Regions from separate parts of the Mus musculus genome. Here region 2 is reported to be linked to region 1. Evidence: microRNA targets listed by miRTarBase, many of them from high-throughput screens and not tested one by one. Region 1 holds a microRNA gene; the other region holds the end of a gene's coding sequence.
Evidence for each region. The annotated mature microRNA mmu-miR-1905 reads CACCAGUCCCACCACGCGGUAG and lies in region 1 at 1,434-1,455, opposite strand. An mRNA with a match to its seed (bases 2 to 7 or 8) in the 3' UTR can be bound and repressed. Matches are read on the target gene's strand: a 7mer-m8 pairs with bases 2 to 8, a 7mer-A1 pairs with bases 2 to 7 and ends in A, and an 8mer does both.

Region 2: the mRNA of Gfpt1 is a reported target of mmu-miR-1905. Seed matches in the 3' UTR shown: 7mer-A1 at 1,497-1,503.

Annotation. Positions count from the first base shown.
Region 1 is chr3:88,534,878-88,539,951 of GRCm38, forward strand. Mir1905 (microRNA 1905) reads right to left here and starts at 1,505; the gene lies at 1,424-1,505. It overlaps Mex3a (mex3 RNA binding family member A), which reads left to right. Exons shown (of 2, transcript NM_001029890.3): 2 at 1,196-5,074. The coding sequence ends at 2,304.
Region 2 is chr6:87,087,841-87,092,914 of GRCm38, reverse strand. It overlaps Gfpt1 (glutamine fructose-6-phosphate transaminase 1), which reads right to left. Exons shown (of 19, transcript NM_013528.3): 19 at 708-4,801. The coding sequence ends at 4,757. Among named protein-coding and RNA genes, the nearest start is that of D6Ertd527e, 14 kb to the left of the region's middle.

The DNA of each region.
Region 1 (5,074 bases):
CCTTATGGCTTTGGATGGGTACATGAGGAAGGGCACGCAGCACTGAGATGTGCCTGAGGAACTCAGGGATTCTGCCTGTGAGAGTGGGGCAAAGGTGTGGGTGTGTACTAATGTACAGTCTGTGCGCTGGGCTAAAGTGAGATGGAGAGAGCCTGTGGACATGTGAAGAGGTGTTCTGCTCCACCCTACAGTATTGCTTGGATGAAGGCACTCTCATTGCCTTAGGCCCCAAGGCCCCTGAACTCTGAAGGAGGGCTAAGACACAGAGGCTCTGTAAAGCCAGGCAAGTCCACCCAGCCTGAGGTCTGCAGACTTTTCTGACGGGCATTCCTGCTTTCCCCCTCCTCTTCTCTTTGTCTCGCTTTTCTTTCTCTTCCTGCCTCTCCCAGCCTCCCAGCTCTAACCTGATCCTCCTTCAAAGCAGGAGCTGGGGTCCAGAAATGCTCAGTTCCCCTCTCCTCAACCTCCAGGACATCTCAGTCCTGCCCTGGGCGTCAGGCAGGGAGGACAAGAGGACAAGAGGACAAGAGGACAGGCCTTAGGTCCTCTGGATGATACTGTCTTCCTACTTCTCCCTGAGATTCTGACCCCTTGAGCCCCACCCCCACCCCCCACACTGAATCAGGGGCTGCTAATGCTTTATGGTGTGGAGAAGCACAGAGATTATGTGGTCTCCCCACCTCCCTCCTGCTGCCCCTGGTTTAGTGTTTCTCTGATTTTGGTCTCTACTTCTAGGGATGCTAGGAGGGCCTGGGGAGGTCGCAGCACACAGTAGCCAATGTCCCTGGGTGAGCTAGAGGACAGACTCTTTTAATGAATGGAAGTCACATGAGTAGACTGGGTTAATGAGTGCATTGGAGCTTTGAGCAAAGACCATGAGCAGTCACTGAGAGGAAGGTGAGATGGAGGGAGTGGACGTGCCGGCAGGTGCTAAGGGAAGAGTTTGTGAGGTTTTGAGTTAGCCGCTTCTTCTCTCAAAGGCTCTGAAGGAGGGGGGTCTCAGAGGAGTGTATCTGGAAGGCCCCAAATGGAACACAGGACAAACTAGTGCATTCAATTGGTCAAATTGGGGGGTAGGTTGTATTTGTGGTCTTGAAGGTGTCACTGGATCAACTGAAGGATTTTCGGGAAGCTGGGATTCTGGGGGAAGGTACAAACTCCTTTGTCCTGTAAAATTTTTCCCCACTCTGTCCAGGCTGCAAGATTAAGGCTCTGAGGGCCAAAACCAACACCTACATCAAGACACCTGTGCGAGGTGAGGAGCCAGTGTTCATGGTGACTGGGAGGCGGGAAGACGTGGCCACAGCCCGGCGGGAGATCATCTCTGCAGCTGAGCACTTCTCCATGATAAGAGCCTCACGCAACAAGTCTGGCGCCGCCTTTGGCGTGGCCCCTGCTCTGCCAGGCCAAGTGACCATCCGTGTACGAGTACCCTACCGCGTGGTGGGACTGGTGGTGGGCCCCAAGGGAGCGACCATCAAACGCATCCAGCAGCAGACCAACACGTACATCATCACTCCCAGCCGGGACCGCGACCCCGTGTTTGAGATAACCGGCGCACCGGGCAACGTGGAGCGTGCGCGGGAGGAGATCGAGACGCACATCGCTGTGCGCACCGGCAAGATTCTTGAATACAACAGCGACGGCGACTTCCTGGCTGGCAGCCCTGACGCTGCCTTGGACAGCCGCTACTCAGACGCCTGGCGGGTGCATGCTCCAGGCTGTAAGCCGCTCTCCACCTTCAGGCAGAACAGCCTGGGCTGCATAGGCGAATGCGGCGTGGACTCGGCCTTTGAGGCCCCGCGCCTAAGCGAGCAGGGCGGGGACTTTGGCTACAGCGGATATCTGTTTCCGGGCTACGGTGTGGGCAAGCAGGACGTGTACTATGGCGTGGCAGAGACAAGCCCCCCGCTGTGGGCGGGTCAGGAGAATGCCACGCCCACCTCGGTGCTCTTCTCCTCTGCCTCCTCCTCCTCCTCTTCAGCCAAGGCACGCGCGGGCCCCCCAGGCGCGCATCGCTCTCCTGCCACCTCTGCGGGGCCAGAGCAGCTGACCGGGCTCCCTCGGAGGCCACCCGGAGAGCCACTGCAGGGTTTCTCTAAACTGGGGACAGGCGGGCTGCGGAGCCCCGGCAGCGGGCGGGACTGCATGGTGTGCTTTGAGAGTGAAGTGACAGCAGCCCTGGTGCCCTGTGGACACAACCTTTTCTGCATGGAGTGTGCAGTACGCATCTGCGAGAGGACGGACCCAGAGTGTCCTGTCTGCCACATCACCGCCACACAAGCCATCCGAATATTTTCCTAAGCTCCATGTCCCTGGTCTCCTGGGCCCGCTCCCTCGGGTGCTGCCCTGGACCTGTAGGGCTTTTTGAAAAATCAGTGACTACAGGGCAAGGTGCTTGGAAATATTCACTCGCTGGGGTGGGGACAAGGAGGCCTGAGTGGCTGGGGGCGGGGCCATTTTCAGAGCCTCTGGTTACCCTTTGGGAGGGGCCATAAGTTTTACTAGAGTTACAACTCTGATACCTCAACACACCCTTAAATCTGGAAGCAGCTAAGAGAAGCTTTTGTTTAGCCAGAAGTGGCCACCAGGACACACATCCTGACCTTTCCCTTCTCCCTATCCACATGTCATTTTGCCCCTTCTCTGGAGGGGTAAGAACAGGGAGACTTGCCATCTGTAGTTAGAGGTGCTCTTCCTGATTCGCTAGCCCTCTGGTCCTGACCTCCCATCTCCTAACATGACCCTTTAGCCCACACACACACACACACACACACACACACACACACTCACTCACTCACTCATATCCTGAGTTCCCAACAGTATAGGGAGATGGGGGCCTATTAAAGATCTGCATAGATCTTCCAGGGTGATGGAGGATGTCGATAAAGGGCTCACAACTTACCCATCTTACAAAGCTGGGCTAGAGATCTGGAAAGGGGCTTCTCTTCCCCCTTCAATTGTTTGCTTGGCTTTTCCCCCAATTTTTTTTTGTTTGTTTGTTTCTGGATCTGCCCTTTGGTTTCTGTTGTTGTTGTTGTTGTTTTCCCTATTCTGTCCCCCTCTCCCTCAGCCCCCAGCCACATGTTTCTTTCCATCCTCTTACCTCTTCTAGCCCAGCTTTGGGGATATCATTTTCTTGGGAGAGAAGTCTGGAGAGTGTTTTGATAGCCCCCACCTCCAGTTCCTCTTCATGTAGAGGACAGCCCTTTTCCCCCACTCCTCCAAAGAATCAGTTTGAGACGGGAAACTAGTAATGGGGTACATGAAAGGTTGGAACCCTGCCTTTATCATCTATGGGCATTATACTTAGGGAGCATCTTATCCTGGGTCTTCTGCCCAAGGCAAGGGAAAGCCAAAAGTAGGAAAAGTCCTGGGGCAAGAGAGATGTGTCTGGACGGGCTCCCCTCCCCCTCACCTGCAGTGGCCTACCCCCGACCTCTCTCTGCACCTAGCTGAACCATTATTGAGTCCTTATTAGCCACAAATCATGAATTCTCTGTCTTACCCACTGGCTGAGGAGAGAGGCCAGATCTTTGGTGAGGGGTCAGGCCAGGGCAAAGCAGGATTGGGGTGCGGTGGAGCCTGTTACAGGAATCAGGTATTGTGATAGGTCTAGCACCCCTTCACTACTCCTCTTGCTCACTTGTGTCTGTCAGCAGCCTCCTACTCTCCCGGGTTCCGCTGGTCGGGCCAGGAGAGGATGGGTGACCAGGAGGCCCAGGAGATGCTTGTATATAATTGGGTGGGATATTCTGAGCTCTAGCTCAGGAGTCCCACTCTTCCTGGATGGGGAAAGGATGTGGGATGAGGGCAGAGGGAGGTCTCTCTCTCTCCTGCCTCTTGTGAATTAACTTGCCTCTCCTCAGCCTTCCCCTCCAGACCACCAGCCTGGGAGGGGAGAGGAAGGAGGTCACAGCCCAGAAAACTGGCCTGTGGCAGCTTCCCTCCTTTCCATCAATGTGAGCCATCTTGAGATGTCTGTACAATAGAAACCAAACCAAATGGGCACCCTGGGTTGCCCAGGGGCAGGGGATGGGAGGGGGGTGGGAAGAAGGGATGTCTGTCTGTCAGTCCCCTCCCCCTCTCCACTCCTTACCCACAAAGGCAAAAGACTGTTACACTAGGGGCTCCACAGATCCAATCCCACCCTTGCTGAGTGAGCCTTTCCTAGAAACAAGCGCAAAAGTGAGCGAGCAGCAAAACAAAGCAATGGGGGAGTGAGATGGGCGACCAACAGAGGAGAGGAAACAAAAATAGCAAAAAAAGAAAAAAAAGCAGTTCTTTATAATTTAATATTCTATTTTAATAAAGGCATTTATTACCGTATAAATGTAGCAAAGAACCTGGGCTAATATGAAAAAAAGACTTTTTATTAGGTAATTTATTATATGAAAAGGATATTTTATTTTATGATAAAGTGATCCTTAAAAAAAAAAACTTTAGAAGGTTTAGAATATATGTAGGGAGAGAAGAAAAAAAATACATTTGTATTCAGAGTTAAATCTTAAAAAAAGTTTTTAATATATGTTCGGGTTTATGTTCTTTTTTTTCCCCCACTTCTTTTTGGGGAGAAATGTCATTTGCTTTTCTTGGGGGAGCATCCTGGGGTGGATGGTGGAGAGGGGATAGGGAGTTGGTCCCTTCTGGGGCCCCCACCAGTAGATTGGATTTCATTCTGTGGGCTCCCCTCCCCCTCCCCCTCAGGGGAGCCGGCAGAGCCAAACAAAGGAAGGGATTAACCAGAAAGGAAGCAGCTTTGGGACTAAGGACTGAGGGTCCTGGAGTGTCCCTCCTTCCCCTACCCTGTGCCAGGGGCAGTCAGGAGGGAAAACCAGAACTGAGGCCTAGTTGGCCGACTGAAACCCTCAGAGGTGTGAGATTTAAGAGAAATAGATTTTTTTTAACCAAAAAATTAAAAAAAAAAATGAGAAAGAAAAACCGAGGGGTTTAAAAGAAGAGAATACTACAAAATAATTCAAATTTATTTCATATAATCCTAGAGAAAGAAAAAGAATTACTAGTTACTTAGTAGACGATACTCAAGATAGCTTAAAGTTTAGTAGCATTGTGG
Region 2 (5,074 bases), not on the chromosome of region 1:
TCTTGTAAACACTCAGCAAAACCAACAGGCAACTGAGGCAAATTTAAATTGCTTTATATCAAAACCATGGTGGTGGGGTGGGGGGGGGGGGCTGCATGATCCTTATAGCACAGAGCACAGGAGGAAAAGCTGAGGCGAGAGCAGCCAAGCTGCAGCCTCCTGCCAGCCAGCATGGACACATCAGGTGGAGCTGCTGCTTCTAGCTCTAAAGGACATCCTATCTACGACAGGCCACGTGCCAGGCCAGCTTGACCGCACCCTCAACCCACTCACACTCCCCTTTCTCCTAGCTATCAATGCACTTTCAGCTTTCTGGTCACCCTTCCAGAAACCTGATAACAAATCATTTTTAATGTAAAGTGCTATGAGAAAGTGCAGAACAAGTGACATCGGAGCTTAGTGTAGCATACATAACATCAGAGTTTTATCTAATGATTCTTCGTAAAACTGCTAGGAAGCTGGGGTACTGGCTCTGGATATGCGCACAACCATTCATTCTTTAAAGCAACAGGGCTGAGAAGCCGGCAATGTTTACCAACAATGAAAGCAAAACACTGACTCTATTCTTTAGCCAGCACCAACTTTAAAATGCTACATGCACATGTGTGTTTCAAACGCTAGTAAATCCTTCAAAATGAACTGCTACGATTGTGACCTAATGTGTAAGGCCCGGGGTGCTGTCCCAAGCCCAACCAAAAAAAGAAAAAGTCACACAGCAAGGTTTTGGGTAATTTATTCACAGTTCCGGTGTAGTCACTGGATTGAACAGGACACAAGGATGAAATAACCATCTGGCTCAGAAAACTAAACATTCATTTAAAAGAATACAAAATCAAAACAGAGCAATGATTATTCTAACCCCCAGTCCCACAGAAGTATAATTTAAACAAATATAAAAATGTTATTAATGGAAAAACACATTCAACCAAAGAACATTCAAAAATTAGCAAGACCATTTCTACACTCTCTGGAAACTAGTGCAGAAACAAGATAAGGTGACGTTTCCTCTGATGCCATCATCAGCCTTCAGAACATCACTACTGAGCGTACGGACTTACAGTCAACACAACACAACTTAGCAGTCTTGCTTAAAACTATGGACATTACTATTCAAAGCCAATGCTGTCAGTTTTATTATCTGTTATCATCCCAGATCTGAGGATATGTTTAAATAAATTCTAGCTATGAAGATACTGAAATACTTATTAACAATCTTTAAGTACAGTGAAAAAGTCCAATTTATGTTAAAACTTTTGAATGTGAAACTAAATAAAAGCCATGTGAAATGTCTCCAAGCTTAAAACCCTGCGTAGTATTACTGTACACACAACCCACTATGGGTTGTCATAAATCAAAATGTGGATGTCATAAATCAAAATGTCTTTACCTTTCCCTTCCATGTCTTTGGCCTTCCCAAGTTGTAAATTATGAATTCTTTTTTTAAACAAACATTTTCCAATGACATTGTGCTTTATTATTTTTTTTTAGAAAACTCATACCAGTTAATGTATATAATAAACAGGTAACCTTAGTCTCTTTTATTGCTCTAGAATATCCTAATTATAAAAAAAGATAAAAGAGTAACCCCAAAGACTGAAGGTGTGTTGTGAAAGTGTTAGTTTCCCTCTACATGGGACCAAGTCCAGCCTCCTTTCCTCCCACCTTCAGAACCACTGAGGCAAGAGGCCTGGACTGAAAGGGTTACCACCTGTCACTTCAGAAACAGCCTGCTATTAAAAAGCTGATGTTGGTGTTCTGAACTAACAGCCTTCTGCACAGTACCCTGTGACATCACTCTGCTGAGCAGGGACACACAACTGCTTGCCATATTACTAACTGCTGTTCTTTATAGTCCCCTGTTCCACGGACAGGCCGGGGCAGCTGCTTATGAACATGTCAAACGAACCCAGGCCCAGCATTTAATACCTCAGCACAGCTCCACCTTTCCACCCTCCCTCCTGAGCCTCACAAGGACCAGGTCCACCAGGGACAGTCACAATTGCTCTGAGGGTCTAGCTCTGCTGCCCAGCATGGCAGCCGCTCATACACAGCCGCCGAGCCAGTCACAGGCTAAGAGTGAGTGGCTCACCTTCTAACCTTTCTATCTTACGGCATAGATTCTCTTTTTTAGAAAGTAGTAACCATCAAGTGGGCCATGTGTCAGGTGCCTCAGTCCTCCCTGCCTAGCAAGGACTCCCAGGTAAAGATGTGTGTGTGAACTTAAACACACTATAAATGTGCTCGGTCCTGTGGCGGCCTGATGCCCCAGAGAAGGGAGATGCTAGGGGGTGCGGAGGGGGTGGGGAGCACCCTCTTAGAGGCAAAAAGGAGGGGGATGGGGTGGGAGGTTCATGGAGGGGAAACCAGGAAGGAGGACATTTGAAATGTAAACAAATAAAATAATTACTTTTTAGAAAGAAAGAAAGATAGATAGATAGATTAGAATTTAATGACAGCACTCTGGAGGCAGAGGTAGGGAGATCTCTGTGAGTTCGAGGCCAGCCTAATCTACAGAGTGAGTTCCAGTTCAGCCAGGACTGCACAGAGAAACCCTGTCTTGAAAAACAGGGAGCTGGGGGTAGGGGGGGGGGAGAATTTTAATAGAAAGCCTCCCTTTTACAGGGTATTTTTGTTTTGAAAAATTAGATTTCTATGTCCTGTATTATACCAAATTAGTGGGACCTACTCACCTAGTGCCTTGCCTTGCTAAAATATCTGGGTATTAAGAACTAATAAAAGAATTTAGGTAGAAAGCAAAATGGGATATGGAAAACAATAATATTTGTTTAGACAGTACTACCCTGGTCCTCATCTGGGTTTCTGACTGGTTTAGTATTTATTCTAGCTTGGAGTGTGTATGGATGAGAAACTGGTAAATGGGTTCAATATCATAGACAGAAGACAAAAAGAGTTGTGACGTTCCGCTGCACGGAGGGTGGTTAGCAAGACTGAGCTGTATAATCCAAAACTGCTCCAACAGGACCCCGGGGTAGTGACTGAGCTGACAGTGAGTGACCAGACAGCACTGAGCTGATCGTCTCCCAGTTTCAGTGTCTCAACACACCAACATCACCCTGTGCTCCAGAGCCACACACCAAACAAAAGCCACACCCAAACACGAGCAGCTGTGCTACCACATCAGGCCTAAGAAATGACCTTACACACATGCTCCACTAACATGAAGTCTTAGGGACAAATACAACAGAGAAACGTACCCAAAGCAGTGACATGGAGTACAAACTGTGGCCCTGTCTTGGGTTATCAAAATCAGGTTTCCAGCCTCCATCAGTGTGAATGAAGCCTTCTGAAATGCCTAAAGTGACATCAACTTTTTCTTCAACTCACCTTCACAAGTGTTAACTGCTTACCACTAAGTTCAAACACAAAGCATGACTCCGTGAAGCACTGCGCTTTCACCGTGTACAGGTGAAAGCTTTTGAAAACAATGGACCTAACTTGAACACACACACCTGCCCACTGCCCACACAATCTGACCCAAATAGCTCTGTGAAGAAATTACTCTGCACATTTTTGGGGTGTCAAACTAATGTTCTATTTTAAATATTTTATCCAACTTGCTGACCTGCATTTCTGACACAATCAGCTGAAGGCATGACAGTCTCACGTATTTATACTGCATTCACTCCTCAACAGGAGTCAAAACAGTCCCAAGGAAAACATCGAGAAAACAACCCTGAAACTGACGTCACTCCACAGTGCCAAGTATGTGCCGTTCTCAGCTGAGCCTGCCACATACACTGAGGGTCAAATGAGCAGCAAGGCCTGCCACCCCCCAAGCAGAACTTCTACACTGGCACCAAGGGATGCTTTCTGCAACAAGGCAGGGGAGGAAGTAAAGGTAACTGCAGGAAACTCTTCTTGGGACAAAGCTGAAGAGAGAATTGAGCACCCTGACACCAATTTGAGGCTTGACAGCAACTCTGTGCTATGATGCCAAAGGCAGCTACAAAGTACGTCACTCAACAAACAGTACTTGCTTTTCAGTTAAGCTCTACAGTTGCGAGAAAATGCCAACTACTCTTAAGAGATGAAGAAATAAGGAGTGGATCCCTGTGTCCTATCTTCAAATGTCCAGCCACATATCAATGTCTAACAGCACAAGTTTTCCAAACTCCACAAGGTCTTCTCTGCAGGTGTGGAGGACCCAAACGCACTGTCTACAGAGATGACAGACATGTTTGAACTAATTTAACTAAACTAAGATAAAAATCTCACCAAGTTTTTTGGTGTACAGTTTGATTTAAAAACAAAACAGAAATAAGCTTCAACATAAACTGCAGCATCTTCTATTTATAAGTAGCGCAGCAAAGCCTTTGGTGGCTGTCCAGGCACTGGCACACACTGACTTGGAGTATCCAATTCAATGCACTGGTCTTCCCTCAGTCTGACTGACCGAATCACGTTATGCTGAAGCAAACACCAAGCGCCTTGACACTCACCAAGCCTCCTCTATGAAATGGAGGGCCCAGAAATCCATTATCCAGTTCTCTGAACAAAATACAGCTGAGATCTCTCTGATTTTAGGTTTAGACTTAAATTCTATGAATCAAATTCCCCCATGTATTATTGAAAATGAGACAATTGCACAAAAATCATTAGTTGAGTGGAATAATTATAACTGATATATAAATAAGATTTACTAAAAAAAGGCTTTCAGGAGGCAATAGTTTAAATCAAAAATTTAAATACAAAAGGTATCTCGTGTTGCTTAACTGTCTTAAGTTTCAGGTGTCTGTTACTCTACTGTTACAGATTTGGCAAGATTCCGTGGAAAATCAACCTGCAGAAAAGAGAATTGTATTAGCAAATATAATCATGTAATTTAGCCTAGAAAATAACTGAAAAACAATAAAGGAAAGGCGCTGACATACATAGGAGAGCTACCTTGGTCCCCTAGGAAGATGGCCCTCATAGGGAACCCTGGAAAAACTACCGGGTATCTTGGTTCCCATGACACCCAGAGGATTAAGAATGCCGCAGCCCTCACTGTGGGAGGGGTCCAAACAATAACTTGTCCCACCCAAAAATGCCAATCACCACCCATGAAGAAAAC